Cricetulus griseus: one gene and its partners. The protein of the gene in region 1 purifies or fractionates together with the protein of each later gene. This does not show direct contact. Links are inferred from orthologs where the notes say so. Each region holds a gene or a part of one and is shown in the gene's direction. Other genes may lie near its edges.

What was found.
Region 2: the proteins of Ssrp1 (region 1) and Zc3h18 purify together in Homo sapiens (affinity purification with mass spectrometry; 3 studies listed by BioGRID and IntAct, with this or other methods). This does not show direct contact. The link is inferred for Cricetulus griseus from reciprocal best matches to the Homo sapiens genes SSRP1 and ZC3H18.
Region 3: the proteins of Ssrp1 (region 1) and Paf1 fractionate together in Homo sapiens (co-fractionation; 3 studies listed by BioGRID and IntAct, with this or other methods). This does not show direct contact. The link is inferred for Cricetulus griseus from reciprocal best matches to the Homo sapiens genes SSRP1 and PAF1.
Region 4: the proteins of Ssrp1 (region 1) and Mms22l purify together in Homo sapiens (affinity purification with mass spectrometry; 3 studies listed by BioGRID and IntAct, counting the BioPlex papers as one, with this or other methods). This does not show direct contact. The link is inferred for Cricetulus griseus from reciprocal best matches to the Homo sapiens genes SSRP1 and MMS22L.
Region 5: the proteins of Ssrp1 (region 1) and Srpk1 fractionate together in Homo sapiens (co-fractionation; 3 studies listed by BioGRID and IntAct, with this or other methods). This does not show direct contact. The link is inferred for Cricetulus griseus from reciprocal best matches to the Homo sapiens genes SSRP1 and SRPK1.
Region 6: the proteins of Ssrp1 (region 1) and Mcm7 purify together in Homo sapiens (affinity purification with mass spectrometry; 4 studies listed by BioGRID and IntAct, with this or other methods). This does not show direct contact. The link is inferred for Cricetulus griseus from reciprocal best matches to the Homo sapiens genes SSRP1 and MCM7.
Region 7: the proteins of Ssrp1 (region 1) and Chd1 purify together in Homo sapiens (affinity purification with mass spectrometry; 3 studies listed by BioGRID and IntAct, with this or other methods). This does not show direct contact. The link is inferred for Cricetulus griseus from reciprocal best matches to the Homo sapiens genes SSRP1 and CHD1.

The regions. Positions count from the first base shown.
Region 1 is NC_048599.1:90,498,068-90,502,104, reverse strand, and holds the start of Ssrp1 (FACT complex subunit SSRP1), read left to right. Parts: upstream 1-1,237; 5' UTR 1,238-1,371; intron 1,372-1,847; 5' UTR 1,848-1,968; coding exon 1,969-2,022; intron 2,023-2,433; coding exon 2,434-2,619; intron 2,620-4,037. Other genes in the region: P2rx3 (P2X purinoceptor 3), read right to left, coding at 996-1,026. UniProt on the Homo sapiens protein: Component of the FACT complex, a general chromatin factor that acts to reorganize nucleosomes. The FACT complex is involved in multiple processes that require DNA as a template such as mRNA elongation, DNA replication and DNA repair.
Region 2 is NC_048596.1:199,058,590-199,062,089, forward strand, and holds part of Zc3h18 (zinc finger CCCH domain-containing protein 18), read left to right. Parts: coding exon 1-43; intron 44-274; coding exon 275-340; intron 341-2,293; coding exon 2,294-2,454; intron 2,455-2,563; coding exon 2,564-2,763; intron 2,764-3,209; coding exon 3,210-3,303; intron 3,304-3,500.
Region 3 is NC_048602.1:7,488,776-7,491,108, reverse strand, and holds the end of Paf1 (RNA polymerase II-associated factor 1 homolog), read left to right. Parts: intron 1-887; coding exon 888-993; intron 994-1,101; coding exon 1,102-1,192; intron 1,193-1,276; coding exon 1,277-1,695; 3' UTR 1,696-1,833; downstream 1,834-2,333. UniProt on the Homo sapiens protein: Component of the PAF1 complex (PAF1C) which has multiple functions during transcription by RNA polymerase II and is implicated in regulation of development and maintenance of embryonic stem cell pluripotency.
Region 4 is NC_048595.1:117,167,652-117,171,599, reverse strand, and holds the start of Mms22l (protein MMS22-like), read left to right. Parts: upstream 1-1,148; 5' UTR 1,149-1,445; intron 1,446-1,546; 5' UTR 1,547-1,558; coding exon 1,559-1,725; intron 1,726-2,445; coding exon 2,446-2,571; intron 2,572-3,948. UniProt on the Homo sapiens protein: Component of the MMS22L-TONSL complex, a complex that promotes homologous recombination-mediated repair of double-strand breaks (DSBs) at stalled or collapsed replication forks.
Region 5 is NW_023276806.1:233,711,155-233,714,654, reverse strand, and holds part of Srpk1 (SRSF protein kinase 1), read left to right. Parts: intron 1-1,426; coding exon 1,427-1,452; intron 1,453-1,851; coding exon 1,852-2,065; intron 2,066-2,433; coding exon 2,434-2,835; intron 2,836-3,400; coding exon 3,401-3,500. UniProt on the Homo sapiens protein: Serine/arginine-rich protein-specific kinase which specifically phosphorylates its substrates at serine residues located in regions rich in arginine/serine dipeptides, known as RS domains and is involved in the phosphorylation of SR splicing factors and the regulation of splicing.
Region 6 is NC_048597.1:116,878,958-116,882,975, forward strand, and holds the start of Mcm7 (DNA replication licensing factor MCM7), read left to right. Parts: upstream 1-1,218; 5' UTR 1,219-1,342; coding exon 1,343-1,373; intron 1,374-2,109; exon of another isoform or gene 2,110-2,260; intron 2,261-2,649; coding exon 2,650-2,729; intron 2,730-3,501; coding exon 3,502-3,666; intron 3,667-3,750; coding exon 3,751-3,875; intron 3,876-3,946; coding exon 3,947-4,018. Other genes in the region: Ap4m1 (AP-4 complex subunit mu-1), read right to left, coding at 56-152, 231-337, 677-765, 856-913. UniProt on the Homo sapiens protein: Acts as a component of the MCM2-7 complex (MCM complex) which is the replicative helicase essential for 'once per cell cycle' DNA replication initiation and elongation in eukaryotic cells.
Region 7 is NC_048595.1:294,596,785-294,600,993, forward strand, and holds the start of Chd1 (chromodomain-helicase-DNA-binding protein 1), read left to right. Parts: upstream 1-1,409; 5' UTR 1,410-1,543; coding exon 1,544-1,596; intron 1,597-4,209. UniProt on the Homo sapiens protein: ATP-dependent chromatin-remodeling factor which functions as substrate recognition component of the transcription regulatory histone acetylation (HAT) complex SAGA. Regulates polymerase II transcription.

The DNA.
Region 1 (4,037 bases):
CAAAGTGGAAATTCACTTACTTCTAACTGCAGTTGGCAGCAGTGGCTGAAACACTTCTTGCTGTATAGAAATTTCTGAATTTTCTTTTTTACCCCCAGGTTACTTGAATCTTTGGTTAGGGTATGTGCTCCTGAAAGGTTGGGACTGTTTTAACCATCTTCAATGGTTTCCTCAAATCCTAGAAATGTGATGCTTTAACAATAGGCTCTCATTACATGTCTTAAACCCAGTTTGACTCAGTTAAATAGTGCTAGAAACAGCAGTGCTTAACCCAGGGGTTAAAGCCACAAATTCTAGATGGCAAGACTGCATTTTGACTGTCTCACATCCCAGGACTGAGTTAGCAAATCAGTGCAGTGATTGTCAGGAAAACCGTGAGTTTAAATATTCTGTCTTTATGCAGGGCACATGCTAGCAATTACTCTAAAGGTTGGACCCTCATGGTTATGATAAAAGGCTGATGTTAAGGAATCTGAATTCCGGGCTCTAGCTTTGATGCCAATGTACTTACACCCTGGGCAAATCTTTTGTGTGTTTCAATTTTCTCATCTGTAAAATGAGGAAGGGCGAGATAAACTCAAGCATCTCTTTCAGACCCGGCTTCAGATTTTGCAAGATGTACCCTGGCGCTATGTGAGGGCATCCGGGTTCTGCCAACTCAGGCTGATGTGGTTTCAAGTAAGTCCTAGCTCAAAGGTAAATCTGACACCAGCACTTGGAAGTTAATGCGGCCATCTGCCAGGCTCTTCCTGAGAACCCACATATTAGGGATATGGATGGGATGATGTTGGGGGTGGAAGGTGAACTCATTTCAGAAAGGATCCGATCCACTTGCCAGGATACAGCTGGAAAGCAAGCACAGTCACCGACACCCGCATTCCGTTTGCGGCTAGTGGGGGCGTCATTTTGGCCATAGGTCTGCATTTTCTCTTTCCAAAAGACTCCTTCCCCGACTATTTTAACAGGAGAGAGGGACATGAATGATTCCAACATACAAACAAACCTGAAAGCCTGATAAAACTTCATAGTTTCTCTTCAGAATCTCCGCTTTTTAGAAGGGTTTGCAACTTTCTAAAGAGAGCTCCCATTTCCTAGTTAACAATTCAGCCGCGTGGGATTCCACAGCAAGACCGTCACTAGCCCAAGGTACCGACGCTCTAGGAGACCGTCCCGTTGGTCCGCCCGGCTGGTGTCTTTCTAGCCAGGTCTTCCTCTCTATGGTTTGTGCGCGACTTCCGGTGGCGGGACGCGGGACCGCGCACGCGGGAAAAGCTTCCCCGGCGTCCCCTCCCCCGCATCCCTACCTCCTCCCCCGCGTCCCCCTGCGCCCACCGCCCGTGCTGTGCCGTCGCGAGGTTGCAGCTCAAAGAGGTGGGTGGTCGCGATCCCGGGTCCCGGGTGTGCATGGGCCCTGCTCCCCCGCGGGACGCTCGAGATGGATCGTTCCGCGTTCAATTTCGCCGGCAGTGGGCGAATCCATATTAAAAGGAGGGGGAGAAACGTGGGTCCAGGGGGTCTCGGGGTGTGGGATCGCTGGGGTCGGGACACTACTCTCCGAGCGAGTTGAGGTGCGCTCTCTGAGCAGGTCCCGGGCTTGCGCCGATTGTTGCCGTGGACTGTCGATGGAACGTCCCGAGAGGGTGTCGGGTTGGGGTGTAAGCGCCACTACAGGCCTGGTTCTGCACCTAGGGTCCTGGGCCTTGGCCTCAGGAACGCTGCAGAGCCGGGTCTGTAAGGTCCTCAGGCGCTGGAGAACTTGAGACGATCCAGTCTAGGCACAGCTATCCATGGGTGAGCGGGGTAAGGTGGTGTCTTTACTTGTTTATCAATCTCCTTCCTGAATTCAGATTCCCACCCTGCTGAACATCTACACACCTCACCAGGAATTGGGGCCCAGCTCCCAGAAAAGGGTTCGTTTGCTCTGGTGCAGCCTAGGGCTCTGTGCTCAGGCCACCAAGACAGGTGAATATGGCAGAGACACTGGAGTTCAACGACATCTTCCAGGAGGTGAAAGGGTCCATGGTGAGAATGACTTGGTCTTTTAGTAAATGTAGAAATCGGGAAGAGTTCGTGTCCATTAAGAAAAGCTTAACCCTGACTGCAGTTTTGGAAATAGGGTATCTGCAAAAGCAGCAGCAGAGTCTCAAGAGTTGTGCTCTTCAGTTTGAAGAGATTGCACGTGTAGATCTATCCTAAACTCCTGTGTTAAAAACCAGGAAACTGGGGTTAACAAGGCTGCGGGTACCAGAGCCAAGCTTTCGGTCTTGATTTGAGGTCTCTTGTGTCTTTTGACTTGATCTCACTCTCACCACTTGAACTGTTGCTTTTCCATTGATAATCTGGCCATCCTGCATCAGCACCACACAGGTGAGGGGTAAAGTGGACCTGCTAACACTGTATCCTGTTCTGAATCTGGCTCTGTATTTTGGACAGAATGATGGGAGGCTACGATTGAGCCGCCAGGGTATCATCTTTAAGAACAGCAAGACCGGCAAAGTGGACAATATCCAGGCTGGGGAGTTGACAGAAGGCATCTGGCGCCGGGTAGCACTGGGCCATGGACTTAAACTGCTTACAAAAAATGGCCATGTCTACAAGTATGATGGCTTCCGAGAATCGGTGAGAGATCTTGTTGCCATGACTCTCTCCTTTTGTAACTGCCCTGTCTTGTTTATTTTTAATCTTCTACAGACAGTTGGTGTTCTGATAATCATGTCATTGCTGGTTTGGGCTCCTCAGAGCAGGGCAACTGGAGACTGTTAAACAAAACACTACTGTCTGTTTTCATTGCAAATGTTATCTTGTGAATTTCTTTGTGCCCGGACTCCAGGTTTTCTCACATCTTGTTTTAGATAGTGGTTTCCACTTGCTCCTTCTGTCCTGGTTCAGAATCTTAGCTCTGAGATTTTGTTTTTCCATTTTGAGCTGTTTGAGTTACTTGTTTTTAATATCCAGTTTCATCAAAAGAGCACCTATACAGAGTTTAAAAACTCAGCAAGGTGATTCATACATCTGGGATTGGAAGTTCCTTTACTCCTCTCCCAACCTGGGTTTTTTTTGGGGGGGTATAAAAAGATATTTTTATTTTTTAAAAAATTATTTTGCTGTGCGGTGTTGGTGCATGCCTTTAATCCCAGCACTCCAGAGGCAGGCCAACCTGTCTAAGAGCGAATTCCAGGACAGCCAGGGCTAAACAGATTAGCCCTGTCTTGAAAAAAAAAAAAACAAACAAAGCAAAAACAAAACATCAAACACGCCTTTAATCCCAGCACTTGGGAGGCAGAGGCAAGCGGATCTCTGTGAGTTTGAGGCCAGCCTGGTTTCCAGAGCGAGTGCCAGGATAGGCTCCAAAGCTACACAGAGAAACCCTGTCTGAAAAAACAAAAACAAAAAAAAACAAAACACCAAAACTAATTTTATGTATATGAGCTTTGCTAGCAAGTATGGCTGTGTATCATGTGTATGCCTAGTGCTCTCAAAGCTCAGAAGAAGGAATTGGAGTTACAGACAGTTGTGAGCCACCATCATGTGGGTGCTGGGGAGCGAACCCAATCTTTTGGGAGAACAAGTACTCTTAACCATGGAGCCATCATGTGGCTAGCAGCCAGACGGTGATGGCTCATATCTTTAATCCCAGCACTGGGAAGGCAGAGGCAGGCAGATCTCTGTGAGTTCAAGGCCTTCCTGGTAAACAGAGCAAGTTCCAAGACAGCTAAGGCTGTTACACAGAGAAACCCTGCCTCCAAAGACAAACAAAAAAGATTAAGGACATCTGTGAGAGCATGGCTGAGGGCATCTGGGTCCCAGAAACAGCCTCTAGTAACAAAGCAAAATTGTTTTTAAACAGTTCTTTCGAGACAGGGTTTCTCTGTGGCTTTGGAGGCTGTCCTCAACGAGCTCTTGTAGACCTGCCTGTCTCTGCCTCCCGAGTGCTGGGATTAAAGGTGTGCACCACCACTGCCTGGCTTTTTAAAGGTTTTGAATTGACATGCTCAGTTAACTATGGTTTCTGATAAAGGATACATTGCTGAACTTTT
Region 2 (3,500 bases), on another chromosome or scaffold:
AAGCAAGAAGGAAGGAGCGGCAAACAAGAACTCCCCCAAGGAGGTGAGCATATGGGCTTGTGGTAATCCTGGTACAGTTCTTATCCTTGGTGCTGCCGGGGAGTAGATGCTGATAAAAACTAGAGCCTGGGAGGTGGGTGTCTCACCAGGGAAGCATCAGGGAGCAGAAGCCCAACCTGGAGCACATCTCAGGCCCACAACTAGCCTGGTGTGCAGGAAGGCTCTGCCTCGGCAAGGACCGCCTCTGAGGTGAAGTGTGCTGCTTGTGTTGCAGGCGGACACTCAGCGGCAGTGGTAGCGGCAGTGGCAGCAGCTACAGTGGCTCCAGTTCCCGATCCAGGTCAGTTGCTTGGTCCTGCTCCATGTCAACCTTTTGTCTCTCACCCACCATGTTAGGGGCTCCTCAGGGTCCAGGGGCACACAGCTCAAGAGTGAAGATAGCTCCCTTAACACAAGAGCATCTCATCTTAGGGGAAGAGGCTCAGACTGGTACAGCCCAGCTGGACAAAGTGAGGCCACTCCCAAGTTCTCTGTCCACTCCTTCCCTGAGGATAGACAATGGTCTCTGGGCCTGCTGATCCCTAGGCATTTTGGAGAAACCCTTAAAGAAGACCAGAAAGGATTTAGAAGATGAAGTCAGCCTTCAGAGTTTTAGCACTTGTCCAAGATGTCAGCAGTCTGCACTGTCTCAAAGACTTGTGGTGTTTTATTTATGTACAGATATCCTGCCTGCATTTATATCTGTATGAGGATATAGGGTAGAGGCCTGCATTTATATCTGTATGAGGATATAGGGTAGAGGCCTGCATTTATATCTGTATGAGGATATAGGGTAGAGGACCCTGGAACTGGAGTTACAGTTACAGTTGTAGGCTGCCATATGGGTGCTCTGAATTGAACCCAGGCCCCACTGGAAGAGCAGCCAGTGCTCTGAACCACTGTGCCATCTCTCTCCAGCCCCATTTGTCTTTAAAGCTAGGAAATTTGATTCTTCTGTCTTCTCCCTGCCTCTGATGACCTTAGGATTGGTGTTTGTGATAGGCATGTCATGGTACTGCACTGTGCCAAAACAGAATCACCATCTACTCTCTCCATCCTCCCCTACCCCCTGGCCACAGCCTCGCCCTGTGTTCACTGTCCCTGACAGTGAAACTGTCACTGTTTGTTTAATTACTGTCATCCAATTTTTTTTCTTTCTTTTTTTTTTTTTTTTTTTTCCCGATGGTGGTACTAAAGGTGAAACCCAGAGCCTTGCATTTTGTTCTAAGTGCTCTACTACCGTGCTCCAGGGTTTTGGTTTTGGGTTGAGAGATGCCCTGTTTTGCCTAGATGAGCTTGAACTCCTGGACTTAGTCAGTTTTCTCAGGAAGCTGGGCACCGGCACACCTGCCAGCTGTCATCACCCCTTTTGTGCTGCTTTTGGTTTTTTAAGATAGGGTCTCACTATCAAGCCCTGGCTACACTGAAACCCACAGATCTGCCTTACCCTCTCCACTTACTGGAGAGGATTGTAATGGATTGTAGCTGTTGTGCACCATAAACGAGTTTAAAAGCATGTCCTTATACTGGGTGGCAGTGGCACACTCCTTTAATCCCAGCACTTTGTAGGCAGAGGCAGGCGTTTCTCTTGAGTTTGAAACCACCCTGGTCTACAGAGCTAGTTCCAGGACAGCCTCCAAAGCTAAACAGAGAAACCCTTTCTTTGGGGGGGGGGTGCTCTAGACAGGGTGTCTCTGTGGCTTTGGAAGCTGTCCTGGAACTAGTTTTTTTTTTTGTTTTGGTTTTTTTGGTTTTTTGAGACAGGGTTTTTCTGTGTAGCTTTGGAGACTATCCTGGCACTCGCTCTGGAGACCAGGCTGGCCTCGAACTCACAGAGATCCGCCTGCCTCTGCTTCCCCAGTGCTAGGATTAAAGGCATGTGCCACCACCGCCCAGCGAGAAACCCTTTCTTGAAGATAAACAAACAAATAAATAAATAAATAAATAAATAAATAAATAAATAAATAGATAGATAAGTCCTTATCACCATTGGTAGGGCTCAGTCACATTTCCCTTCTCACCATAGTGTCACCCTGGTTAGTAAAGTAGAGACCTTAGCTCATGACATAGCTGTCCTATCCTTATATAGTACCTCTGAAAGCCCCAAGATCTCTTACACTGTTGATGTGCATTCCATAAACATGGAAACTGGGTAAAGATGAGCCATAGAGACACCTCCCCCCACAACTGCCATCAGCCCAGCCATCTTGCAGTTTCATGGGGCTGAGGTGAACAGCTGTGCTTGTGTGTCTAGGTCTTTGAGTGTGAGCAGTGTCTCCTCGGTGTCCAGCGCCACCTCAAGTAGCAGCTCAGTGCACAGTGTGGACTCAGAAGACATGTATGCAGACCTGGCCAGTCCTGTGTCCTCAGCCAGCTCTCGATCCCCCACTCCTGCTCAGACCAAGAAGGAGAGAGGTAGGCAGGACCCATGCCCTAGGGGTGTGGGCTCAGGGGTGAGCTTTAAACAGACTGTTTGACTGTCCATGTTCACAGGAACATATGACTGAGGGTTTGTCATTGACAGGGAAATCTAAGAAAGAAGACGGAGTGAGAGAGGAAAAGCGGAAACGGGACCCGTCCACACAGCCACCCAAGTCCTCCAAAGCTCCGACAGGTGGGAAGTCCTCCCAGCAGTCAGCTGCACCTCAGCAGACAGCCCCTGGGCAGCCCCAGCAGGGCTCCTTTGTTGCCCACAAGGAGATAAAGCTGACACTGCTGAATAAGGTGAGACCAAGGGGACAGGCCAGTATTGTTGCACCTGGGCCTGGGTGCTAGGGATTCCACCCTGCCCCTGGGCTGAGAGATGGGCCAAGATGCATCAGCATAGTGCAGAGGTTTAGCACCTCAGAGTTACAGTTCATGTGCCTGTAACTGCAGCCTGGCTAGCTCCCCACACAGTAGCCCTGGGACAGCAGGCAGGCAAGCCTGGGTTCTGTCCTCAAAGCTCCATACCTATCTGGAAGGGCCAAGGCCTGACATGTTGGAGCCCTGAAAGGCACTTCCCTATGCAACACAAAGGGCCCGGTCACAAGGGTCACAGAACTGATTTTGGGGCAGGGGGGCAAAAAGAGGACCATGGGAGCAAAGAACCATTCAGATACACCACCACCTTCATCCTTGCCTAATGACTACCCAGGCCCTACCACCCTCACAGTATTGTGCTGTTTCAGGCGGCTGATAAAGGGAGCCGGAAGCGCTATGAGCCATCAGACAAAGACCGGCAGAGCCCTCCAGCCAAGAAGGCCAACTTAACCCCAGACCGAGGTGAGTCTCCTAGGTCCAGGGCCTGAGACATACCATGGATGCCACAAATAAGCCAGAAGGCCCACCTGCAGGGCCTTGACACTACATCTGCTTTGAAAACTATGGAGGACCCTGAGAACTCCTCTGCAGGTGTTCTAACACCCATACTATAACACTGGAGATTGCAGCTAGGATTTCATTTTGCTTTTAAACATTAT
Region 3 (2,333 bases), on another chromosome or scaffold:
CTGGTTCTAATACCATAAACCAGAAAAAAAAAAATCTTTACATAACACAGGATATAAACATGGTCATTTTTCTCACACATGCTAGGCAAGTGCCCTGCTATTAAGATACATCCCTCGTTTCTACAGTGTTATTAGTTTTGTATATGTGATTTGGGTTGCTGTCAGTTGTTTCCCCGTGCTTGTATTTTGTATGCGTACTATGATAGGAAGTCAGGATAACCCCCCCCCCTCCACCATGGCGCTGGACCAGCCGAACCACCTCCCCGACCCTTGAGCGGGTTTTAAATGAAGTACCTGACCAAAAAGTGTCAATTCAGAACTCTCCTCTGAGGGCTGAATGTTAACTTGTCCTGTTGCCTGTGGTTTGAGTTTCTGCTGAGTGCAGAGATGACAGGTTCTGATCATGTAGTTGGGCTGAGGATGTGACAATAGGCCGGTGACAACACTAGTGATTAGTACAGTCCAGCCTCAGTCTACTGTTGCTATGTCCTTCCTATTTAAAAGCCAGAAACCCAAAATTTGCCACTTCCTTGTTTTTAAAAGTTGGGTAAGGGGCCTGGGGAAATTGCTTAGCCGTGAAGCACACTGCCTGTTCTTCCAGCCTGTCAACACTAGTTGCCAGGAAAATCTGATGCCCTCTTCTGGCTTCTGAGGGCACTGCATACATGGTACATACACAAAACACCCATTCACTTAAAAAAAATTAAAGCCAAAAACTTAAAATTGGGTAAATCAAATCACAGACATTAACTCTCCATAATTCTCATGTACACTGTATGTATACTCTGTACTCTGCTATGCTCTGGGCCAAACAGTGATAGGGAACCAGGTGTCTAGTGAGACGGTCTTTAACTGAATCTTCCCCCTTCTGCAATTGTCCACTACAGGGTCCGTCTTAGTAAGCGTCGGGCCAAGGCTGGGGTTCAGTCAGGCACCAATGCCCTGCTTGTGGTCAAACACCGGGACATGAATGAGAAGGAATTAGAAGCTCAGGTAACAAACTCTGCTGGCCTAGGACCCCCACGGGACCCCCACGGGGAGGCTAGCGGTGGGTGAGGACAGAACACACCCTCCATCTTCGTCCCAATTCACTGGTTCTAGGAGGCACGAAAGGCCCAGTTGGAAAACCACGAACCAGAGGAGGAGGAGGAGGAGGAGATGGAGGCTGAAGAGAAGGAAGCTGGGGGCTCAGGTAAAGGAGTGGTCACACCCTTTCCTGGGAGCTCTGGGAAGGCGGCAGGCAGTGGGGGTCTCACCTGTCCTTGCTTCCTGGCAGATGAGGAGCAGGAGAAAGGCAGCAGCAGTGAGAAGGAAGGCAGCGAGGACGAGCGCTCTGGCAGCGAGAGCGACCGGGAGGAGGGTGACAGGGAGGAGGGAAGCGACAAGAGTGGCAGCGGCGAGGATGAGAGCAGCGAGGACGAAGCTCGTGCTGCCCGCGACAAGGAAGAGATTTTCGGCAGCGACGCTGATTCAGAGGACGATGCCGACTCTGATGAGGAGGACAGAGGGCAGGCCCGTGGGGGCAGTGACAATGACTCGGACAGTGGCAGTGATGGGGGCGGCCAGCGGAGCCGCAGCCAGAGCCGGAGCCGAAGTGCCAGCCCTTTCCAAAGTGGCAGCGAGCACTCAGCTCAGGAGGATGGCAGTGAAGCTGCAGCTTCTGATTCCAGTGAGGCTGAGAGTGACAGTGACTGAGCCGCGAGGCCTCCTGAGGCCAGCGCACACACCGTTAGGGCAGGGAAGCACTTTTCTAGCTGTCTGTTTTGTGAGCCCCTTGTTCGTCCCCACCCCTCGAATCTTTGCTGTTAATAAAGTCAACTTCTCTTGACTTCACCTCCCAGAGCTTCAGTTCTTCGTCCCCTCCAACCCATCCCTACCCCAGGTGCTCCATGACCTCCGCCTGAAGCACAAACGCAAAGCCCCATGGACTTCCCAAGAAATGCATTGCAACAAAAATCACAATCTTTTTGGTTTTTTTTTTTTTTTTTTTTTTTTTTCCAAAATAAGCCCAGACCATTAACAATTGAAACTCCAACAAATAAGTCTTCTCCAACAGCGAGAAAATGTACAGTTACTCAAAGCTGATTCTGCCAGTGGGGCTGGGGACAAAAGTGGGTAGGGTAGGGTGAAACCATGGAGGGGATGGGGGAGGAGGAGGGTCAGGGTCCTGCCTGTCAGAGTGGGGCCGCCTGCGTCCTGCACTCTGCTGTCGGGTGGGGGGCAAGCTCTCACCTCCCTCTCGGGGAGGGTATCCCTTACCACCTTCCAGTGCCAAGCAGGGTCAGTCACCCTGATGGGAAGTGAACAAGACAAGACTAGACCAGCTCGTGGAG
Region 4 (3,948 bases), on another chromosome or scaffold:
TCTTGAAATTACTGTGGAAGAGACATTCATGATAGAGACTAGACAAGTCAAGACTATAAATATGACAAAGCACAATTGGACAATTTTCTGGATATAAAACTGCAGTTGGGCAAGAGGCATGGACTCTGTGATGTCTTGAGGTCTACTGAGAGCATGATAAATATGGTTGATAACATATGCTATACTTTAAAAGTTGTGAGATAGTATACTTTAAGTGTTCTCAAAACAAAAATGAATATGTGTGACACAACATGTTAATTGGTTTAATTTAGCCATGCCATTGTGAACATACTGTATTATGTATCATAATTGTGCATGACTTTATTTAGAGCTAAATGAATGAATGGAAAAAAAAAGCATCAGGTCTCAAGTGTACAACTGAACTGCACAAATACAACATCCATAGCCCTACCCTGTGGCAGGAATAAAGATATTGCTGTTTTTTTTTCTCACTTTATCCAATCTGTCAGAAAATAAGATGTATTTAATTCAAACAGACAAGAGTTAGGACAGGTTCTGTAATGAAGTGGACACAGGTTCAACTATATATTCGAATCACAGCCAGGATTAGAGTTCAAACTTAACCTCTTACATCTCAAGATGGTAACAAGCAAATGTGTTAGTCATCTCTTGGTTACGCTGAAAAAGCCTGAGAAGTCAATTTTAACGAACACTGCTATAAGGAAAACGAGTGGTCTGTGTATTTCACCAAACTGCAACTTTGTCGGGATGCATTACAAAAGGAGCAAAAGTTGCCATGCCTGGGAAAAAGCAAGCTGATTATTCAGTGGCTTGAGTACACGGGCTTCTCTTTTCCAAGGTGCTCTCTTGGACCGTGCTTCCTACATCACCGGGAGGCCGGAAGAGGGTGACCAGGGGCGGGAGCTCCGCTGACCGGAAGCCGAGTCCAGCTGTTCTCACACCCTCCTCACTTCCGTCTAAACCGAGAACTCCCAGTTTCTCAGGAGGTTTCACCTCCCGAAGTCACAAAAGTCCGGAGAAAAACAAACTCCAGACTTCGGTATCCGTCCGGACCAACAGGCTATCGCGAGATTTCGGGCTCTGCCACTAGCTTCACTGAAGGCATCGCGAGAGGGCGGTGTCGGGGGCGGGGCAGACACGTCGTGGGCGGGGCACGCCGTGGCGGGAATTTCGCCTGCTTCCGGTTTGTTCCCGGAGTGTTCCGCGTTCTGGTTGCCGGCCCGCGGGTCTCCCGGGGGCGGAACGTTCGCTGCACCCGGGGCTCTTCCGTCACGGTGGCCCGCGCTGGAGGGCACAGAGGCGGCGGGGCCGTCTGTAGCATCCCTGTCCGCGCCAGGAAAGCCGCCTGAGGTGCGCGGGGGGCCTCAGCAGCCCCCTGTGGCCGGGAGGGAGCCAGGGCGGCGTTGGGAGGCTGGTCAGAGGGGCCCGAGAGGACGCCCGGATGTTTGCAGACCTGGCTGAAGGCACGTTGTGGGTTTCCGAGCCCCTCGGCTACTTTTCAGCGTGCTCCAGCTTCTCTCCCAAGCCTTGGAGGTGACTGTGAGGTACCACGGTGTCATTTCAGGGCACGATGTGAATGATGGATGGCGGTTCTGCCGTGTCCACGACGTTCCTGACGGACAGTTTGGAGCTGGAGCTGGGCACGGAGTGGTGCAAGCCCCCTCGCTTTTCTTGCGCTTTCGACAAGAGAGAAGGAGCGTTGTTTTCTGGAGAGTCCTACCTTGCCAGTGGCGCTCTTAAGCGGTAGGTAACAAAAACTAATCGAGGGCTCCCCATCAGTGTTTGTTTATGTTTGCTTAATTGGTACTGAAGTCTGAACTTTGGTGCCCACCAAATCTTGTTTGGTATGTATAGTACCTAGAAGGTTCCAGGCAGTGTGTCTGCCTTGCCTGGGTTTTGAGTCTTTTCTTGGTCATTGATAATCTCTTGCTTTCTGAGCAGCAGCCTAGGCTATTGGAGTTGGTGTTTCTTCTTAAGGACAGTACCAGTCTACAAGTTTTCAGTAGTTTGTAAGTAAGGACGCAACTGGGTTTTTGTTGCTCTGGGTGCTTTCCAGCCCTAAGTTGTCTGTGCATACAGAGTCATAGACTTAACTTTGGTTGAGTTTGCAGTAAATTGCAGTAAAATGGCTTTTCTTGAATTATTTTTATTAATGGAGGAAACCATTTTTTTTTTTTTGCTGGTTTTGTGGTTATACCCACTTAACAACCTTAAAAGCACATTACATAACTTCATAATGTTATCCCTCAGGCATAATTCAGAATATTTGGTGATTTAAAAACCCATCAGTTGTTCAAAGATAAAATACTATGACCGTGTGTATTGCCTAGAATCCTTTTAGGCTTTTGAGCCACATTGCCATTATTTTATGCAATATAAGGTGTAGATACCCAAGCATTTCCTGACTTATATATGCCTCGTATAGCCTGGATTCAAATGTTTAAGTCGCCATTCTCATTACAGGTTGATTTTAAATCTTGATCCATTACCAACTAACTTTGAAGAGGATACAGTAGAACTATTTGGCATCCAGTGGGTTACCGAAACAGCATTAGCAACTTCATGTCGAGAGCTCTTTCATTTATTCAGGTACATGTATGTCTGCTTTTAACCCCAGATTCTAGATGCTGTCTAGTTTTACATTGCTGGGTGTTTCCCAATACTGATTACAAAAGCATCGGGAATTGCTTTTGTTTTGTTCGTCTTACCATTATCCACATAACGGTTTTAAGGAGTTGTTTATATTGCTTTTCAGAGTCCTTATTACTGTGTGTGCAATGCTAGAGATAAAACACAGGCTATTGTAAATGTTAGGCAAGCATCGCACCACTGAGCTATATTTGCATTGAATAAATATTTACGTGTGTGTATAATATTCTATACATAACATTGTATATGCATTGTTTTTGTTCTTAAGACAGAGTCTCAGTTGTATTCATTGTGTAGTGCAGGTTGTTCTGAAACTTACAGCAATGCTCCTGGCTCAGCCTAATGAGTGCTGAAATTTTAGGTGTGTACCGTCATGCCTGGCCTTGGTTTTGTGACACCTTGTTTCGAAGACAAGTATTTAAAGATTTAAACTACATTCTGTGAGCCCTCATAAAGAGATGCCAGTGTATCTTTGATGTATTCTGTATTTTAAGTTCTTCCTTTTAAGTGATTGTACATTCATACAATCACACATTAACGAATGTGTGATTGTATGAATGTATACATGCATGCGTGGTGCTCACAGAGGTCATCTCTCTAGCGTGAGAGAAGAAGGGGAGTGAATTTTCTATAATTGTGAACATTATAGTGAATGGGTTTTGTTATTGTTTGGTTTGTTTTGGTTGGTTTTTGGAGACAGGGTTTCTGTGTTTGACTGTCTTGGACCTTGCTCTGTAGACTATGTTGGCCTGGAACTCACAGATACCCACCTGTGAGTATCTCTGCCTCCTGATTGCTGGGGTTAAAGGTGTCTGCCACCCTGGCCTGTCAAGAGTTGTTGCTGGTTACCCTTCTTTAGACACCTCTTGCGGGAGGGGGTGAGAAGATAAGATGCAGTACCAATGACTCAGGCACCAGGAGTCATTGAGTAGCACAGGCTGCTGCAGACTTAGGCCTGCCTTTATACCCCCTCCCAAGGTCCTATTGGCGTCTGTGGGTCAGGTGTCCCTACAGCCGTGTGTGCTGGCCCGAGCACCTGTGACAGGGTGACTGCTCCTTGGGTAGGCTGGCCACAGTTTCTCCTACAATGAATGAGTCTCTCCAATAGAATTTGGAGGCAAGTAGGAATTAAAATGAGGCAATCTATGGCTTTATATGTATAATTTTCATTTATATAACTGTTTTAGTTTACTTTTCTACTGCTGTGATTAAAGACCATGACAAAAAGCAACTTGGCAAGAAAAGAGTTAACTTAGCTTACAGGTTGCAGTCCATCATCACAGAAAGGCATGGTAGGAGTCTGGATATAGGATGAAG
Region 5 (3,500 bases), on another chromosome or scaffold:
TGCATGTTAATGTGAGGTCAGCTTGCTGGAGTCAGTTCTCTCCACCATGTGGGTCCTGGGGTCAGATCCAGGTTTTTGGGCTCAGTAGCAAGTGTCTTTACCTGCCAAACCATGTTCCCGACCCCAATTTTAGAAGTCTTGTTATACAATAGCTAAGGAAAAATTTGAACTCCTGATCCTTCTGCCTCGGCTCCTCCTTGCCTAGATTGTAGCAGTGTGTGTGTCCCTGGTTGCTCCTTGGGTGGCTGTTTTTATGTATTTGCCTCTTGGTGCTCACACATGCTCAGTTACTGACATTGCCAGGGAGAACTGCTAGTTTGTTTTCATTGATGAGGAGACCCTGACTGAGTCACTTGGTTTCATTTTCCCTTAAACAGGAATTGTGGGTTTTAAATTTCCCATTGAAGCAGTTGTTAGAGCCCCCACAATGCTGTGCTCAGTGAGTAACGATTGTGGTGATTTTTCCATTTGAGGTGCAGGTTTAATTTTAGTAGTTTAATTGTATTTGATGATGTTTCTAGACACATTGAAACACCAGTTATTAAGGACTTATTTTCAAGAATACCCAATGAGATGAAAGTTGATGGGTAGGGTTCAGTTTCTAAGATGAAAAGAAAATGAATTTTCTATCATGCCTTTAAACCACAACTGTAAATACTTTTGGAAGGAAAATGAAACACCACACCACACCAAAGCTGTGCTGTTAACTGTAATATTCCCTGTGGTGGTTACTTAGCTCTTGATGTCCGCCTTTAAAACTCACAAGTGATCCAGCATGACCCATCAGGTAAAGGCATTTGCCATGCAAGCCTGGTGACTGGAATTTGTAGAAAGGTGAAATTTGAGCACATGTATGGCAACACTATGGCTATACACTATGGCTATACTTTTTTGTGCTTTAATAAAAGACAAAGTGCAAAAGGAAAACATGAAGGGTGGGAACCCTGGGTGCTTACGCATGGACAGCAGAAGTGCTGTTCTGAGCAGCATCGCTTGTGGGATTAAATAGGAACTTGGCTCTGGATAGATGGGTACTGGTGATGGAGAGAGTATTTTACAGTCTGAGCAGGATGGCACGTGCCTTTAATTTCAGCACACCGAGAGGCCCTGTCTCTAAAACACTTCTTTAAGCCAGATGGTTGTGGTGTAGGCCCTCAATCCTAACAGAGGCAGAGGAAGGCAGATATCTGAGTTGGAGGCCAGCCTGGTCTACAGAGTGAGTTTCAGAATAGGCAGAGCTATTTGTTACAAAGTAACCCTGTCTAATAAAACTACTTTAAGAAACTACTTGAATAAAAGTTTGGCCACTTTCTATGTATTGTTTTTCTTAAAAATAATGTAGTTTCCTGCATTGTCACTTGGAGAAAGTAGGCTGTGTGAGAGGATGAGACTCTGGCAAACCTGTGTTTTCTCTCTTTTTTTACAGTCAGTACTGCTCCACAGCCTAAACCAGTAAGTATAAGCATGCAGCACTCCTGTGTTTAACTTCTGGGTACTGGGCACGGGCATATTATGGATGGTAGTGGTTTATTTAGAGTGAAAATCAAAGAAAAGGACCATTTCCTGCGCTTCCATGATTTTCTCCAATAAATCTGATCACACCGTCAGCAAGTTTGTATACTGGTGAGGCTTCTGTGAATAGAGGTGACCCAGCCTCCAGACTATACAGAAGATGGAGACCTGTTAGTGTCATTTCGTTAAGTTTCATAACAGTTCTGCAGATTTGCATTAATGGAATACTAGGGAAAGAGTGGAATTTAATTAGGAAATAATTAAAGTTATCAGTTGTCTCCAACCAGGGGTAATGGATTAGCCACCTGAAGGCTTTATCTGTTTGTAATCTCCGCCCAGGCTGACAAAATGTCAAAGAATAAGAAGAAGAAATTGAAGAAGAAGCAGAAGCGCCAGGCAGAGTTACTAGAGAAGCGAATGCAGGAAATTGAGGAAATGGAGAAAGAGTCGGGCCCCGGGCAAAAAAGACCTAACAAGCAAGAAGAATCAGAGAGTCCTGTTGAAACACCCTTGACAGAGAACCCACCTAATAAAATGACCCAAGAGAAACTTGGTATAAATAGAGCGTTGCAACCATGGCTTCATGGCATACCTGAGCATCTGTTTATCTCTGTTATGTAATGTGTGGTTTCATGTATGCAGCTCATCTCTGGGGGTGTCCTGTAAGAATTCAGATCTTACCATGATGCTAGGCAGGTGATAGTAAAGTGTAACTTGTTGCTTTCTCCTCCAGAGGTGGAGATAGACTTTGTAGCTACTGGGTAAGGATGAGATCTTTGTCCTTCCATCAGTAGGTGTCAGAGGGTTGTTAGTCTTGTTTTTATGTCACTCAGTAAAAGCTAGAAATGTTGTAAACTTGTGAGAAGTATCTGTTGTTGACCAGCACGTACACACACGCATCCTTTTCTGTTTGTTCCTTAGAAGACTCAAGTTCCAGTGGTCAGGATCAGACCCTCACGGAGTGTGCTGTAGAGGGTGGTGACACAGAAATTAATTGCAATGGAGTAATTGGAGTCGTTAATTACACTGAAAACAGTAACAATGAAACATTGAGGCTGAAAGAGGACCTGCGTAATGCTAATGACTGCCGTGTGCACACTTTGAAGCAGGAAGCTAGTTTCCTGACCTCCCCAAATGGAGACAGCAGTGCATCTCCAGAAACAGACTCTTGCACACCTGTGACCTCTGAGGTGTCAGAGACCATGGTGTGCCAGGCCTCCTCCGTAGAGCAGGACATCAGCCACCTTCAAGAGAGCATCCGGGCAGAGATTCCTTCTGGGGATGAGCAGGAGCAGGAGCATAATGGACCACTGGACAACAAAGGTACCACCCTGACGCCCGCCCTGCACAGCGTGCTCTTGGATTCCTAGGCAAACTGCTTTTTTACACCAGGCATCTGTTTGGTTTGGTTTGGTTTTTCCCCATGGGGAGACAGGGGTGTCTGTTACAGTGGTTGAAGTGGGGTTGGGCAGACTTTGTGTAGTTTGGGCAAAATCTACCCCGAGCTACATCTCGAGGGAGCAGTTGTTCAAGTTACTTCCAGTGTGTAGATCTGTGGCTAGCTTTAGAGTGGGGACAGAGCATTCCAGTCATCTGTCTACAGGGGCTTTATGCTCTAGGAGCTTGAGTCTTAGTGGACTGTGGTGGCGCATACCTTTAATCCCAGCAGAGGCAGGTGAATCTCTGTGAGTTCCAGGACAGCCAGGGCTATACAGGGAAACCTGTCTCTAAAAGCCAAAAAAGCAAAGAAAGAAACTTGAGTCTTACAAAGAAAGCTTCAGGAGAAGTTCCTGGGGATCGTCTAAATCTTAACTTGGAGACTTTTGTTTCCCTTAGGTTATCTTGTGTTCATTTAACTCTTTTAACTGATAATGGCTGTTGTCTGTAGGAAAATTCACTGCTGGAAATTTTCTTATTAATCCCCTTGAGCCAAAAAATGCAGAAAAACTCAAAGTGAAGATCGCCGATCTTGGGAATGCCTGCTGGGT
Region 6 (4,018 bases), on another chromosome or scaffold:
TATACATAATAAATAAAATCTTAAAAAAAAAAAGAGGGAAGTCTTTGGGCTTTACCAGTACTTCATCCAGCAGTTCATAGACAAGAGCCACATTCCGTGAGACGGTCCCCTCACTGAGTGAGCCACAGTAGTCACACAAAAGAGTGGCTAGCCTAAGGAAACACAGTTGAGTGTGTGTGACTAACCCTCTCAGGCCCTGCTTCTTGGGTGCCCATCCCAGCCCCACTCACCTGGAAAGCAGCTCGAGGAGGCTGAAAGGAGAGACGTTTTCAGAGGTTGTGGCCACCAAGTAGAGGCCACTGTGTCTGATGTGGATGAAATGACGGTCATCATGGTACTGCGGCAGAGTTGGGGAGAGAGGCATTAAAAGACCAGAATTGCAGTAATGTAGCCCACGAGATGGCATCCTAAGGTTGCTACTAGTGGGTGATCCCTGAAACCTCCCAACTACCTGGCCTCCTAACGTGTAACCTACCTCTCAGGATTGTTGACAGTCAAGTGATGAGGGTGCAAGGCTGTTGCTGGCATCTTGTTAGCACTCAGTAAATACACTTGGAGAAACGTATCCCTTCCCCTCCCTGGAAGCTTCCTATCAAGCAGCCCTTGAAAGGGAGCGATGAGGCACCCACCAAGCTCTACAGTCCTAAGCCCCTGCAAGCCCGCCACAAGTGGTTACCATGACAACCGGGGACTCGCCTCCAGTCAGTCCCGTCAGCTTCCGGTAAAAGAGCTCGGCCACATCACGACCACCACTGTCCCCGCGAACTGGAAGGATAGTTAAGGAGCAGGCGACCCAGAAGGCTCTGGGCTCCACTTCTACCGACTACTCCGCCCCGTTTCGCTGGCCAAGGATACAGTCTTTGTAAATGAGTGGGTCCCCCTTGGAGGACAGAATGAAGAACTGGGAAATCATGGCCGTGCTGGAGGGCAGACGAGAAGACGGAGAAAGCTGAAGCCACCCCGCCCTGCGGCCGACGAACAAAAGGAGGCACGGAGGCTGGCGCTTTAAGAAACACTCCTCCCACTTCCACACGGGAGGCCGTAACTCTGAGCCGCGGGAAACCCGGCGCCCCACCCGCCGGGCCAGCACTCTCCCTGCGGCCCTCCCCCTCGCTGCCTGTCACTCGCCCCAGACTCGCCCAGGGATTGGTTGAAACTGGGTGCCGGCAGCGGTTAGGGGCCCCTGCTCTGATTGGCCCGTACTCAGCGGCACGTATCACGTGGGTGGCGACGTTTCGCGCCAATTTCGGTTGGTGGCTGCATCGCGCCGCGCGCTTGCTCTGCGCTTCCCCGGAGTGAGGCTTCTCGGCTCGCCGGCTCCCGTCGCAGGTCCCCGGCAGCGATGGCGCTCAAGGACTACGCGATCGAGAAAGGTGGCGTGCTGGGAGCGGGCTGGGAGCGGTTCTCCGCGGGCTTCTACGCCTGCCGAGGGGAGCCGGGGTCTGTGTCGGGGGGCCCGGCCTGCGCCCGGGACGAGCGTGGCGGGCATCAGGATGGGAGCGATGCGGTTGTGTGAGGAGCAGGACCCAGCGGGGCCAGGTAGAGGAGGGCGCCACCCCGCACCGCGCCGCGCCGCCGAGACCCGGGTGACGTGGGGCTCGCCTGCAGCGCGCGGCTCGCATGCAGCGCGCGGCCCGAGGGCCCGGGGAAAGGGGGGGCCTCTGCCTCTGCTCTTTGGGGCGCCAGAGAATTCCCGCGTCCACTCGAGACGCGCCGGGGTTCGGGGGCGGGGCTTGTCAGGCCGCTGCGCGCCGGGATTGGTTGTTTTAGTCCGCCCTCCAAGCGGAAGTAGAGGCGGGCGGAAGTGGCGCTTCCCTGTCGGAGGGAGTGTCGTGTGTAAACAGTGTCCTTCCGCGCAGGGGCTCGGGGGTAGCTGCGGCGGGTAGGGGCGTGCCTGGAACTGGGAGGCTGAACGCCCGGCGGCGAGAGGTGGCAGTGAAGTGGCCCCGAGTGGCCCTCTGGCGTGCTGGCCAATCGCCGCACGGCCAGCCGCCTCGGGCGGAGGGATCCTGGGCTGTGAGGCGGCTGGAATCCGGGCCCATGTGCTTCTTTGTTTACTAAGAGCGGAAGCGGTGGCGGGAGCGGGGTGTGGGGTGCGGGGGAGGCCTAGCGGCGGTCGTCCTGGCGGGAGTAGAAAAAGAGTTGTACGGGTGGAAGGAGGACCGAGAGTCTTGAAAGTCGATCGTGTGCGAGCTGAGAGAACGGAAGAAACTGAGACTCCTAACTGGGCAGTGAGTCACATTCTCTTTGGAAGCTTGGGGTAAGACTCTCGTAACTGCCCAGGGACCTGTATCCTTCCCCGGGTAAAAGCAGACTTGTGAAAAGGGGTACTGCCCGCTTGGGGGAGAACTAGGTAGGCTTCTTTTGACTGTTCATTTAACTAATTAGTTCATAGGTCCCGTCCTAAATGAAAGTGGGTTTCTTAGGCTTCCGTTGAAAATTTAAAGAATCCGAAAAGGTAGATTGTGTGTGCTGCACGAACATACCACTACTTGCACGTGGGTGTTAGATACAGGCCGAGAGTGTGTTCTCTCCCAGCCTGTGGGTGGGGCCCAGGGATTGAACTCTGATAGTCAGGCTTGGCCGCAGTGGTCTTTACACCTCACTGTTCCTTAAGATTTGTTTTTGAATTTTTACATTTGTTTGTAGAAAAAGTTAGAAAATTCCTGCAAGAGTTTTATTATGATGATGAACTCGGAAAGAAGCAGTTCAAGTATGGAACCCAGTTGGTAAGTCCCAGGATTGGTAATGGGGGGTTGGAATAGCATGTAAGAACTTGTACAAGGTGGTCTACCTTGTTACAGCAAGTATGGCTGTCAGTGGATTTTTGTTTGTTTGTTTTGTGGGTTTTTCGAGACAGGGTTTCTCTGTGGCTTTGGAGGCTGTCCTGGAACTCACTCTTGCAGACCAGGCTGGTCTCAAACTCACAGAGATCCACTTGCCTCTGCTTCCCCAGTGCTGGGACTAAAGGCGTGAATGATTTGGTTTTGGTTGTTGTGTACAAAGTTTTTCTTTTTAGCTTTGGGTTTTGTCTTTTTTTAACTGTTTGAATTATGTTTATTCGTGTATGTGTGGGCTTACATGGAAATGGAGGTCGAATGTACAATTTGGGGGTCCATTCTCTCACTGTGGGTTCTGGGGATCAAACTCAGTTCTTCAGGCTGGGTGGCAGTGCCTGGCCCATTGAGCCATCACCCCTATTCTTGGCTCTTGGTTTTTAGAGATAGTATTTGTGTGACATGGACTGGCCTCAAGAATACTTCATGTGGTTAAATAGCTGAGATTGGCTTTGAACTCCTGATCATCCTGACTTGTGCCTCCCAAGTACTGGGATTACAAGCACACTGCCATGCTAGACTGTAGTGGCTAGTTTAGCAGAGTACTTGTCTGGTATGTGGGGCAGTGTTTATAGGAGTCAGGAAGTTGTTTTCGGGGCTGAAAGTGTTTCTGCACTGTGATCTTTTGTTTTTGTGGATGTAGTAAACTTGGTCCTTGCCTCAGGTTCATCTGGCTCATCGGGAACAAGTGGCATTGTACGTGGACCTAGATGATGTTGCTGAAGATGACCCTGAGCTGGTCGACTCAATTTGTGAGAATGCCAAACGCTACTCAAAGCTGTTTGCTGATGTTGTACAAGAGCTTCTGCCTGAGTACAAGGAGAAGGAGGTAGGTTGCTGGTTTCTGAGCTCTCCTGCCCGATAACCCCCATTCTTTTCCTGTCCTGCTTCTCACTTTCCTTGTCTTCTTTAGGTGGTGAATAAAGATGTTCTGGATGTTTACATTGAGCACCGACTGATGATGGAGCAGCGGAGCAGAGACCCTGGGGCAGTCCGGAACCCTCAAAATCAATATCCTTCTGAGCTGATGCGTAGATTGTAAGTGTCTTTGTGGGTAAGGTCAGGAACTTGTTCTCCAGGACCTTGCTGACAAATGTTTTCTTCTCTAGTGAGTTGTATTTCCAAGGCCCAAGTAGCAGCAAGCCTCGAGTGATCCGAGAAGTGCGGGCTGATTCTGTGGG
Region 7 (4,209 bases), on another chromosome or scaffold:
GGCAAACTTAGCCGGAGCCCGGCAACTGCCAGGCCGGGGAGGGAGGGAGGTAGGGAGGGAGGCTTGCAGAGCCTGGGCGACTTCGGGGGGACTCTCATTGTTGAGGCGCGGGAGCGTCCGGAGTCCCGGGCGCCTGGAGCAGGACTTGAGGGCAAGGCGCCGAGGCGGAGAAAGGAGGTGAGGCTGGAAAGGAAGTCCAGCGGACGGGGAAAGCCATCTTGAGGGGCGAGAGGAAGGTGAAAGGGAAAGAGCGCCCGGGCGAGTGAACTTTTCTCGGCGCAGACTTTCCGGAGAGAAGGAGGAGGTGGAGGAGGACTCGGACACGGCTTAATAGTTAGAGTTCTTTCACCCAGGCTGGAATTAATAGTTAACGTCAGGAATTACTGTCGAGTGCTGTGGGTTTTAGATAACCTGTCCTGGCAGAGGTAGGAAGGTTGAGCTCTGCACGTTCGAAATCCTGATCCACCCACCAGGTGCAGGGAGTCGGCCTCGGCCGAGGTGGGCAGAAGCCCGGGGTGACCCTCTGTTCTGCGGCGTGGAAAGAATCAGAGTTAAGTCGCTGCTGGAGTCAGAGGATAACTCTTGCCTGTCGGTGTGTGTGTGTGTGTGTGTGTGTGTGTCTTGGTACTTTCTGGCTGGGGAAGGATCTGACGTCTCCTTCCCCCGCTTCTTCCTCTCCCTCCCCTGCCAGAGATCTCCTTTGTTTATTCGTGGTTGGCTTGTAGGTGACTCTAGTGCTCCGGCGAAATCTTGAGAGGTGGAAATACTGTTTGTCTTGGTACCCACCTCCCGGCAATCGCCGGCCGGGAAAAGAAGATACAGTGTATATTCTTTGTATCAACCTTTTAATGCTTTTCAAGGCGTCCTAAGTACCACATCAGATAAATGTTTCTTTTTTCCTTTCCCTCCCTTTCACTCTACTTGATAAAAACCTCTATTTTGACGTTTGCATTTTTGTCAAAATCATGATACCTTTTTATCACACCCTTTTCCATATGGGCATTTAAAACCTTTCCTTAGCTGGAATATGAAGTTCATGGTAATAGGAATTAAAGCGTCACTAATGTAACCTTTACCAAAAAAAATTTATGTTACATGGTGCCACTTTGTTTTAGTGATGTATATATAAGTAGTGCTACACAGTAGCAATTAGCCTTGAAAAGTTTGTTGCCCTACAAATCTTTAAATTCCTTCTGTCGAAACAGCACTAGCAGTGGCAGGCAAGATTCTAGTAAGTAATTAAGAATGTATTTAATAGATGCCTAGTTATTCTAAGTCAAAGGCTTCCCCATCTTCCTTGCCACCTCTAGTCTAAGGGCCTAGGTACATTTCTGTGAGTTCTAAGTCGGACTTACTTCTTTTCCTACAGGATATGTTTTTAACTGCTAATATATTTCCCCCAGGTGAATCAAGAGAGGATCCCCAAGAAACCCTGTGAATGTTGAAGAAAATTCGTCTTTGAAATTTCGATATTCGAGGAAGTTGCCATTTATATTCATCTTTTATTAAAGTGGGAAGATTTGTGTTTTCCTTGAAATTTACAATGAATGGACACAGTGATGAAGAAAGTGTTAGAAATGGCAGTGGGGAATCGAGGTAAGCAGGCACTTTACATCAGCTGACCACTTGAGAATTGAAAGTGTGCTTGAGTGTTTTTATAAAACCGTTTTACTAGGCCAAAGTTAAAAAGATCCTCCTAATAGCAGTTTTGTAGCTGTTACAGGTGTGTGTGTGTGTGTGTGTGTGTGTCTGTGTCTGTGTCTGTGTCTGTCTGTCCGTGAGCATGAGTGGGAAGATATCAGAGAACAACTGATCAATTTAAATGTATTGGCGATTTATATTGAGTTAATTGAAGCTGAAACAGTAAAGAAATATTACTTGGTTTGACTGTTAATCAACTGTCCAAATAAATGCATGAAGCACTTCCACACTCCTCTTTTTCTGGAATTTTATGTTTTACACCTGCTTTTTTCCAGTGTGATAGCAGTAGCTACCAGCTACATGCAACTATTTATATTACAAAATGTTCAAAATTCTGTTAGTCACACCAGACATTTCACATGGTAAGTAAATGACATATGATGTGTGTCCACTATATTGGACAGCACTAATAGGAAACATATTTCTCCACCGAAGAAAACTTTAGACAAAATTGATGTGAACTTAAGTCTATTTTATTTGCATATTGGAGTTTTAGAGTTTTTAACTTGGACCATATTATTTCTCAGAACTAAAGTTAATGGAAATTAAGTGTTAAGTCATTTTTATGTGCAAGACAATCTTTTTAAAGGCAGGGTCTTAGGCTCATGCTGGCCTCAAAAAGATTTCCCAGTCTTAATTGAAAAGATTACAGGCATATATTGCTGCCTGGTCAAACACCATTATATTCTTTTGGTCCCTCTACATTTCTAGTAGTCTCCACATTACTGCTACAACCCATATATTCATATATACTATATACTATAACCCAGATATTCATATACTTATATTTAAAAGTCAGCACAGTAGATGTTGGAATCTGACTGTACACTTAATCCCAACTCTGTCAGTTACTCAATGTGAATTGAGATAAATCATTCTGTTCTGATTTTTGCTCTTGTAAAATGGGAATTACACGATTATTTACTAAAAATTAGGGCTTATACGAGATACCGTCTGTCAGCTTATCATGGTTTCTGATACAATGGGCATTGAGTATTTGCTTATTATTAGTTAGCATTATGTTTAGTGTCATGTAGGACACTTAACTGAAGTAGTGGTGGAGAAATGGGAGGGACAAGAAACAGGAAAAGTGAAGTGATGGGATAGTTTATGAAAACAGTAATAAAAAGAAAATAGAGAATAAAATAAACAGTTATGGAAGAAACACTTTAGTTCAACCAAGTATGGATCTAGAAGTTAAAACCCTGGTTGAACCGGGCAGCTGTGGCATGAGCCTTTAATTCCATCACTCAGGAGGCAGAGACAGGCAGATCTTTGTGAGTTCAAGGCCAGCCTTGTCTAAAGAGTGATTTCCAGGACACAGAGAAACCCTGTCTTGAAAAACCAAAACCAAACCAAAACAAAAAAGACCCAAAAGACAAAAAAACTGGGTTGAGGGTGGGTAAGATGACTGTGTGAAGAAGACACTTGCTGCCAAGCTTGTTGACTTGAATTTGATCCCTGAGACCCTGGGAAGAGAGAATTAGTTCTCTCAGGTTGTCCTCTTCACAGGCATACCATGGCTCTCTGATGCCCTTACATCAACATTTAAAACATTTAAAAGAAACAAAAAAAAACTTGATGCCCATACATAATTAGATAAACATTTAAAACAAGCAAAAAAACCAGAAAGCCAAACCAACAAATCCTGAATCTTGCATGAAATAGTTGTTTTAGAATATTTCCAAATACAACATTAGGATTGAAATAATTCTATAAAAGTAGGGACCAGTGTCATGGCACACACCTTTAATCCCAGTATTCTGGAGACAGAAGCAGGTGGCTCTCTTGAGTTCGAGGCCGTCCTGATCTATATAGGAGTTCAGGGACAGTCAGGACTACACAGACCCTGCTTTAAAAAGTCAGTGGGAAAAAGGTTGGAGTAAAGATACACATGGTAGAGTTTATAGATTCAATGGAGTTGAAGTTAGGTTAGAGGATTTGTGTGTGTGTGTGTGTGTGTGTGTGTGTGAGAGAGAGAGAGAGAGAGAGAGAGAGAGAGAGAGAGAGAGAGAGGGAGAGAGAGAGAGGGGGAGGGAGGGAGGGAGATTGAGATTTGGAGTTTCAGTGTGTAGCCCTAGTTCACCTGATTCTCATTATGTAGACCTGCCTAGCTGTGAATTTACTGTGGTCTTTGGCCTCTCTAGTGCTATACCTAACTTTTGAGTCAGATTTCTGTAGATCCATTGTAGTAAGTGAATAGAAGAGTTACATTGTTTAAGGTCTCTCATTCATTAGGAGCAAAGCAATGGTTAATAAGTAGCTATTTGCCGAGTACACGTAGGAACCAGGCTACCTACCTATTAGGAAGTCAGACTCTTGAAGCTTATCTGCTTAGCCAGGGGATCACCTGCTGGAACATTCTCAACACTTAAATTATTCCAGTGTTACCCTATCTAAAGCTAGGAGCAGCAATAATGCCAGTTTGATAATAGAGGTGAAAAACAAACAGGCAAACAAACAAAAAACCCTTTGAAATTATTTAGCAGTTTCCTTTCCAACTGGGCA